Oryza sativa Japonica Group: one gene and its partner. Each later gene encodes a partner of the first gene's protein in a complex. Links are inferred from orthologs where the notes say so. Each region holds a gene or a part of one and is shown in the gene's direction. Other genes may lie near its edges.

Region 1 (4,332 bases):
TTGCATGTGCACGATTACTTGTGGACTTGTAAATTGGCAGAGTATTTGTAATTTGGCTCGGCTCTGTATAAATGGACCGTATAATATGGATATTGATTTTGGCTCTGTGTTTGGACTAGAAATATACTTGGACTGTAAATGTGGATGGGACGGTATGGTGTATATTGTATAATTGGTCATTTGGCTATAGGTCAACTCGTGTAATAGGACTGTACATTTATAATTGGGACTGTATGACTGGACGTTGTATTTGTGGTGGGACGGTGTGACTTGGACAGTGCTTTGGAAATGGGATTTGTGGTATGTATAGATATTCCGAGAATGCACGAGGGCAGAATAAATGGATTGCAACATGAGACTTTGTTTGGATGGATGCACCGTATTGCCAAATAGGAGTTTAGGGTTAACGCACGATAAATGAATTTATCGGTTGTTGTAGGATTATTTTGAGAGTGTTCGTACAAACGAACGACGGTAGCGAAGAAAGGATTTTAGGGACAACGCGTAGCATACAAATCCAATCGTCGCGGTAGGAATAGAATCGGAGATAATTGAATTGACGCATGATAAATAAATACGCCGATCGATTGTAGATAGTCAAGGGAGAGTGTTGGGTTTGAATTGATGGAGTGATTTTAAATAATCGCTGGGCGAGAGTTTGAGAGAGCAACAATATCGCGATAGGACAAAAAAGTTTTGGGTCATTGATTTATTTAGCATCGAAGCACATAACAAATTAGACCGCGAAGGTAAGAGAAGGTAAGGATGGAAAAAGAAAGGTATAGGAAAGGGTGTCCTTTCTAGAGATAGGGTTTAATCAAAATCTATGGCACAAATTCTAAACACACACAAATAAACAATAAATCCTAACATGCAAACTAGGCTATACCTGAGGGAAAATTAGACGTTGTGTGAGAAGGTCATATCTTTTGAAAATAGCCTATTATGAATTATATTTTGCAAATAGGGTTTTTAATAAATACTTTACTAATATATATTATTTTGTAATTAATTTTCCGAAGGCAAATTCCTTTTCAAAGGTTCGTATAAAATAGCCATAGCTATGTTTCTTTATTAAAAGGGTATTTATTTCAATATACTACCCATAGAGGGTTTTATCCAAAACGGTAACATGTATTTATGTGTAGCTTTATTTACAAAATAATTATGCTGAAGGGGTTCTAATAGAGAAGGGTTTTTATATATAGTTGGCATTTGCAAATGTTGAAATATTTCATAAATTTATTATTATATTTTATTAGTATAAAAAAGTTAGGGTTAACGCCATGCTACCGTATGCAAGGGGAAAGGAAACGCAATCGGAGTATGCTGTAAGTACAAGGGGGCAAATGCGAAATAAATACTAGGTCGGTCCAACCCCGAGGTTTCTTCTCCTCCGAGGCGAGGCGAGACTCCGATTCTAGCCTACCTCGCTCGCTCGCTCGCTCGCTCCGTCTTGTGGTCGCCGCCGCCACGAAGACCAAACCCTCGCAAATTGCAATCGAAGAAGAAGAAGAAGAAGAGGAGCCATGGATGGCGGCGGCGGCGGCAACTGGAGGCCCACCCAGGGGGCCGACCCCGCCGCCTCTGGGGGCATCGATCCCAACGCCCCGGCCCCCGCCCTCGCCGGCGGCGACTGGCGCTCCCAGCTCCAGTCGGAGGCCCGCAACAGGATCGTCAACAAGATGTAGGGCTTTCCCCCTCTCCCCCCACCCACTTCCCTTCCCTTCCCTTCCCCCAATTTTTCTTCTCTTCATCAACTATATAAAATAAAATAGAAGATCCATACATCGCATCATCCTTTTGTGCCTGTGGTCGATTCAATATGATGCAACTCTGATCCGATCTACTCCTACGTAGCTAGTTGTAATCTCATCATAATCTCCCCTTCCGTGCCCCTGTGTTTCTGTTATTTATTTATTATTATTTACTTTGTTAGTTAGGTCCAACTCCAATCCCTCCCCAACTATTTTCAGATTCTTATTAGCTTTGACATTCTTGTCTAGTTCACCTAGTCTACATATCCAATTGAACTCAATTTACATTTCATCAGACACAGTTATTACAGTATAGAGGTTTGCTTGGAAGATGCACCCCTTCTGTTCAAATGGATCTTCCCTTTGAGGGTCAGGGAACTATGATGGCAAGGCAAACTGTTTGTTGGAGAAACCGCCTACCTCTCTCGTTTATTTTACTTCGTTATGTTAGATCATGTATGTGCCACTCTCGCTCCGCGAGTCCTTTGTAGCTGTTGTCCACTTTTGGTCATAGCCACTATATTTGAGCGCGTAACTTGGGCTATGCCTACTCATTTGTCCAACATCTTGAATGGTAGACTGACACATTATGCCTTAGGTGACATTTCTCTTTTTTTTTTTGCACAAAACATCTCAAAAGCACTCTCTCTCTCTCTCTCTCTCTCTCTCGTTCTGCATGGGATATATTCGTCATTTACTTGCTTGTTGCAATCTGCGTACAGAATGGACACTCTGAAGAAGCATCTACCAGTATCAGTGCCTGAGGGGTTGAATGAACTTCAAAAGATAGCAGTGCGATTTGAAGAGAAAATCTATACTGCAGCCACCAGCCAGGTACACTTAGCCTCTTGCTAACTCATCGGGTTGATCCAATCTTTCAGTTGTGGGGCTCAAGCATGGCATTTGGGATCTTAGTAGAAGAAATCGATCGTCCAATGTTTGCAAATATGTCTGTTGATTTTGAAGTTTGTTAGAGTTTCGCCGTGAAGTATCCACATTTTCTTTTGAACCGATTGTAATATTTCGCACTTCCACCTAAATCAGATTATCCAAGGCTGCTGAAGCTTTTCCCCTTCCATTATCGGGGGAAAATCTCCTTTGCGCCTTGGATACAGGGACTAAGACTGATTCAGTCCTATGCTAGAGGTGTTGATGTCCCCACATTATTTTCATTGATAACATATCTCAATAGTAAATTAGTATTAATGAATTATAGAACTAAACAATATTTTTACCATGAGACTGGTTTCTCTCATTGGCCATGTTAAAAGTACAGGAGTTGTACCTTGAGTTCTGTAAGCCCATCATTCCATCTGTTCATGCTTGTATAAATCACCTGTAAAATATTCCCTTTATCCCAGATGAAACATCAAACAATGGTTTACTCCAGTCCTTCCTTTTGTGTTAGCGAGTATGTCATCATATATCCCACTTCATTTTGGTAAACATTTTTGTAGGAGCTTCTTTGGCTGGGTATAGGGATTCATAATCTCCAAATTCCAATTGTGTTCTCCTGTTCATACTTCATCAGGCTTATTCATGCCAAAGTAGTTTGCTGTATAGATAAGAATTTGTATAATTTAATTGATTGTATAAAAAAACGAAGCATATGTTTCAATTGTGCTAACCACCAGGACTTAGGGTGGCAAGTTATTTATTACAAAGCCAAATCTTACCATTGTATTCTTTTGTATCACCAGTCTGATTACTTGCGGAAGATTTCTCTAAAAATGCTCTCTATGGAGACAAAGACTCAACAGAATCCTGGAAACGCCCAAGTGATTCAAAACCAAAATCCCCCTGGCTCAGGTATCATATGAAGTATATTCAATATCCGATTCTGAAATACTGGAGTAATAGTAAGATATTCGCTGGTACCATATTTTGTTCACCGTAAAAGTCCTTGTATATATTTTTCATGATGTAACTATATTGCATGTGTGTTTACAAGCCCCATTTCTGAGAGGAAACCATCCAATGGAAGCTCTGCCACACTGGGTACAACAGTGCTCTCTCGTTTTAGCTTGTATCGGATAATGCTCAAGCAAGTAAATTAAGGCGAGATGCCTGTCAGTCGAAACCTCCAAACTTGTTGATTACTCGAACCTAATTAAGTAATTGCTAATCTTGATAGCAAACACACCATTTGGATGCTGGCCACGAATCCTTGCATGGTCATATTCAAAGCTTTTGGGCACCAACATCAAAACAGACGACCCCTTCAATCTGCTTGTTCTAGTAGAGGCTAGATCAGCCATGGCTTCCAAAGTAGAAAAGCAAAGCAAGGCTCACACCATCACGTCTGCTGCCAGCAGCCCAAAGACCAAAGATACACATAGCTTTCTAGCACTCATTCTCTCTCTTTTTAATCAAAGATTAGTATCATAGTCTAGCCCATTGGCAATACACAATCACTTCATCGATATAACCTCTCGCACTGGATTTCCTCTCCCTGACAACTCGGTAGCTCTTTGTTTATGTATTTAGAAAATGGGCTATCAAGTTGTATGGATTTGTATGTACTTGTTGTCCATCGTTAAGCTTGCCCAGGCTCAATTGGATCCACCACTGGATG
Region 2 (3,446 bases), on another chromosome or scaffold:
TGGAACCATGTTCTCTTCTCGACTAGTTATTCAATTGCTGTGTCCTTTCTCCTACGCAGTGCAATTATCTACTCTGGAATTGTGCAGTTATTTCAGTTATAATGATTCTCTTCCAACATTTAGGAAAGACCAGAAACAGTTCAATTTCATTATTTCAATATTGTTTACTAAGAGATCTGGCAGATCAAAATTTGTTTACTGAAAAAAAAAAGGGGAAGAAACAATCGAAGCATCCTTACTAAATGAATTGGATTATGAATTACGAATCATTGCTCAACTGCATCGTATAATGTAACATTTAACGACTGTAAATGTTTACTGCAAAATGGAATGAGGGGAGGGGGGCATTTGACGGCGCATTACCTCGAACACATGATGTGCATCCAGAGACGAAGCTCCACTCCCAGCAGCGAGATCCCAAAGGCAAATCTTCTTATCATACGAGCCGCTCAGCAGCAACCCCTCCTTCATCGGACTCCACGCCAGCCCATACCCCTCCGCTTCATGCCCCCTGAGCACCACATCGGCGCCGCCCTTCTCGCCGCCGTCGCCAAGATGGTACACGTGCACCTCATCCACGCAGGTCTTGGTAGCCACCGTGTACGGCCTCTGCGGCATGCAGCGGGCGCGGTTGACCTCGCCCTTGTGCGGCACCGAGCGGGAGATGGACACGGACGGGGCCGGGACGGCACCGCCCGCCGCCGCGGCCGCCGCCGCCAGGCGGGGCGGGAGCGGGAGGGCGGCGTCGGCGAGTAGGAGGTGGTTGGGCGTCTCGTCGGAGGTGTGGGTGCCGAGGACGAGGCGGTGGGAGCGGGCGGAGCCCGGCGACCGGGAGTGGGAGGGGAGCCACTGGACGGTGAGCGACGGCCACTCGAGCGGCTGGGAGATGACGAGGTCGTAGAGCACCGGCGCGTTCTTCTTCCAGTTCTGGTGCTCCTCCATCTCCGCCGCCGACGACCTCGCCGCCGTGGAGGACCCGCCGTCCATGGCTCTTCTCTTGCGAATTGCGCGGGAAGTGGAGGCGGCGCTGTGGTGCTCTCCCGCCAAAAAGATTGGGGAGACGATGCGGCGGAGTCAGAAGAGATGGTGTTTTATGGCCGAGTTAATGGGCTTTTATGGGCCGTAAAGCCCATATAATACAATTTGGAGGCCCATTAGCCCATTAAGAGGAAATTTTGTCTAGTAGCTTCTGCCTCGCGTCCGTCTCCTGCATCCGCAGTCGCCGCCGCCGCCGCCGCGATGATGCAGTCGCACCACCCCTCGCCGGCGCGGCTGGGGCTGACGGCCTCGTCGCCGTCGCTCCCGCCCAACCCGGCTGCGGGGAATCCCACCTCCTCGCCGCCGCAGGGCAACCCTAGCGCGGCGGCGGCCGTGGGCGCTGCCGCTGCCGCTGCACCAACCCTAACTACATCGCCGTCGCTGCTGCCGCTCCTGCCGCCGCTCCCGCGGGCGCAGGCGCTCCTCCAGCTGATCTCCGCGCTCGCCTCCAACCTCTTCGAGCTCTCGCCGAGCCGCGCCGCGTGGATCTCGGCGTACCGGGGGTCACTCCCCACTTTCCTCCCCTCGCCGTCCTCCGCGCCGCCGCCGCCGCTCCCGGCCCCGATCTCCTCCACCAAGGAGGCGCTGTCGCTGCTCAACACGCTCCAGACCCAGCTCTTCGAGGCCGTCGCCGAGCTGCAGGAGACCCTCGACCTGCAGGACGCGCGCGCGCGCCTCGCCCGCGAGGCGCGCGCCAAGGACGCCTCGATCCTCGCCTTCGCCAAGAAGCTCCGCGAGGCGCACCACGTGCTCGACCGCCTCGTCGACGACTACGCCGACTACCGCCGCGACCCCAAGCGCCCGCGCGGCGCCGCGGCGGCGGACGACCCCGAGCCGGTGTCAGACGGCGACTTTGGCGCGTCGCTGCACTCCAAGCTCAACCTGGACGACGTCCTGACGTACGCCCACCGCATAAGCTACACGACCTTCGCGCCGCCTGAGCATGGTGCTGGGCTGCCTCTGCGTGGGGCGTTGCCGCCTGCTCCTCAGGAAAATGAGATGAGGATGTCGCAGCTGTATCAATTTGCGGATTTGGATGTTGGAGTGCCGAAATCCCAGGAAGCAAAGGAGAGGACTGCAGCAGAGGGAGATGCCACTCCGCTTTTTCAGCCTTCACCAACCCAGGAGGCAGCTGTGCTACCAATCACTGTGCCGCATCCGCATGGGTGGCGGAACGGGGCGCTGCCTCTCGAAATCCCGTTGCCGCCGCCTGGATGGAAACCCGGGGACCCGATCACTCTACCGCCGGATGGCATTCTGGCTGGTGTCAAGGGTGAGGAGCCACGGGCCAGTGTGCAACAGATGCCGGTTGTGGTGCCAGCAATGGTGCCGAAGGCACAAGAACCGATACAGGTTCGGCATGTTGATCTTGACATTAACAATAGTTCTAGCAGTGATGAGTACAGTAGCGACGTCGGGAGCTCTGAAGAAGATGATGAGGATTAGTTCCTTGGTAAGCTATTTTATGATTCATGTTTCCATGCCGTTGTAGGTCATGTACTAGTAAGAACAAATAATGCAAGCTCTCATACATGATTATTCAAGATCATGCAGCAATATACTGGTATTGAATAGAATTGGGTGGCGTATCATGTATGTGTTGATTAATTAAACCATCTCACTAGTCAATTTGCTTCGATATATGTAATCAAGCATGATGGTCTAATTTCCTCAGGATGTGCTGGTGTTGTATCGTCAGAAACATGGCTTCTTTTATGGATATTTAAACTTGAACATGGTGTGTTTAATGTTTGATGCCCTTCTTCACAGATTACAGGTTTCAGTCATAATTGCTTGCTAGGCTTGCTAGCTGGTTATGGGCTTTTCAATCAAGTAATGACTTCCATGTTCATGCACTCTGCTTAATTTTTCTCATTGTTTTACCTTATGTCTGTACCTCTTATTGCTGCAATATAGTTTGAAAACCTTTATACCATTGTACCAAAGAGTGGTAGCTGAAAACTCAAGAATGTTCTATAACTCAAGCTATATAAGTTATGAGAAGGGAGTGGTTTCAACTTGTAAGTTTGCACTTAAATGAACACACCATTTTTCCTATCTTATTGCACAGCATGGGGGATCTTCCTACTACAAACATGATACTAGTACTATAGGTCTTAGTTTTCATTCACGAGCTTATCTTGCAGATGATAAAGTAGTAATTGACTCAAATGGGTTAGAACTGCCAAAGCATCATCAGAAGTAACTCCTTTTATAATTTTATTGGTGCATATCGCATCTTTATGTACTTTTTTTTCCCAATTCAAGAGCTGCATGGTTATCAAAGCGGTCTCATCGTAATTTCAGTAGCCTTAGCAGGGTTTCCATCATAAAATATTCAATAGACATTGATCAGTTCTCTTTTGGGTATTAAGATATCATGTGACTTTGGATTTATACTTATATAC

What was found.
Region 2: mediator of RNA polymerase II transcription subunit 15a (region 1) and mediator of RNA polymerase II transcription subunit 4 share a complex: the UniProt entries of both Arabidopsis thaliana proteins name them as parts of the mediator complex. The link is inferred for Oryza sativa Japonica Group from reciprocal best matches to the Arabidopsis thaliana genes NRB4 and AT5G02850.

Annotation. Positions count from the first base shown.
Region 1 is NC_089042.1:28,450,746-28,455,077, reverse strand, and holds the start of mediator of RNA polymerase II transcription subunit 15a, read left to right. Parts: upstream 1-1,398; 5' UTR 1,399-1,529; coding exon 1,530-1,687; intron 1,688-2,479; coding exon 2,480-2,591; intron 2,592-3,457; coding exon 3,458-3,566; intron 3,567-4,332. UniProt on the Arabidopsis thaliana protein: Component of the Mediator complex, a coactivator involved in the regulated transcription of nearly all RNA polymerase II-dependent genes.
Region 2 is NC_089043.1:25,716,142-25,719,587, reverse strand, and holds mediator of RNA polymerase II transcription subunit 4, read left to right. Parts: upstream 1-1,164; 5' UTR 1,165-1,239; coding exon 1,240-2,484; 3' UTR 2,485-2,805; downstream 2,806-3,446. Other genes in the region: histone-binding protein MSI1 homolog, read right to left, coding at 364-987. UniProt on the Arabidopsis thaliana protein: Component of the Mediator complex, a coactivator involved in the regulated transcription of nearly all RNA polymerase II-dependent genes.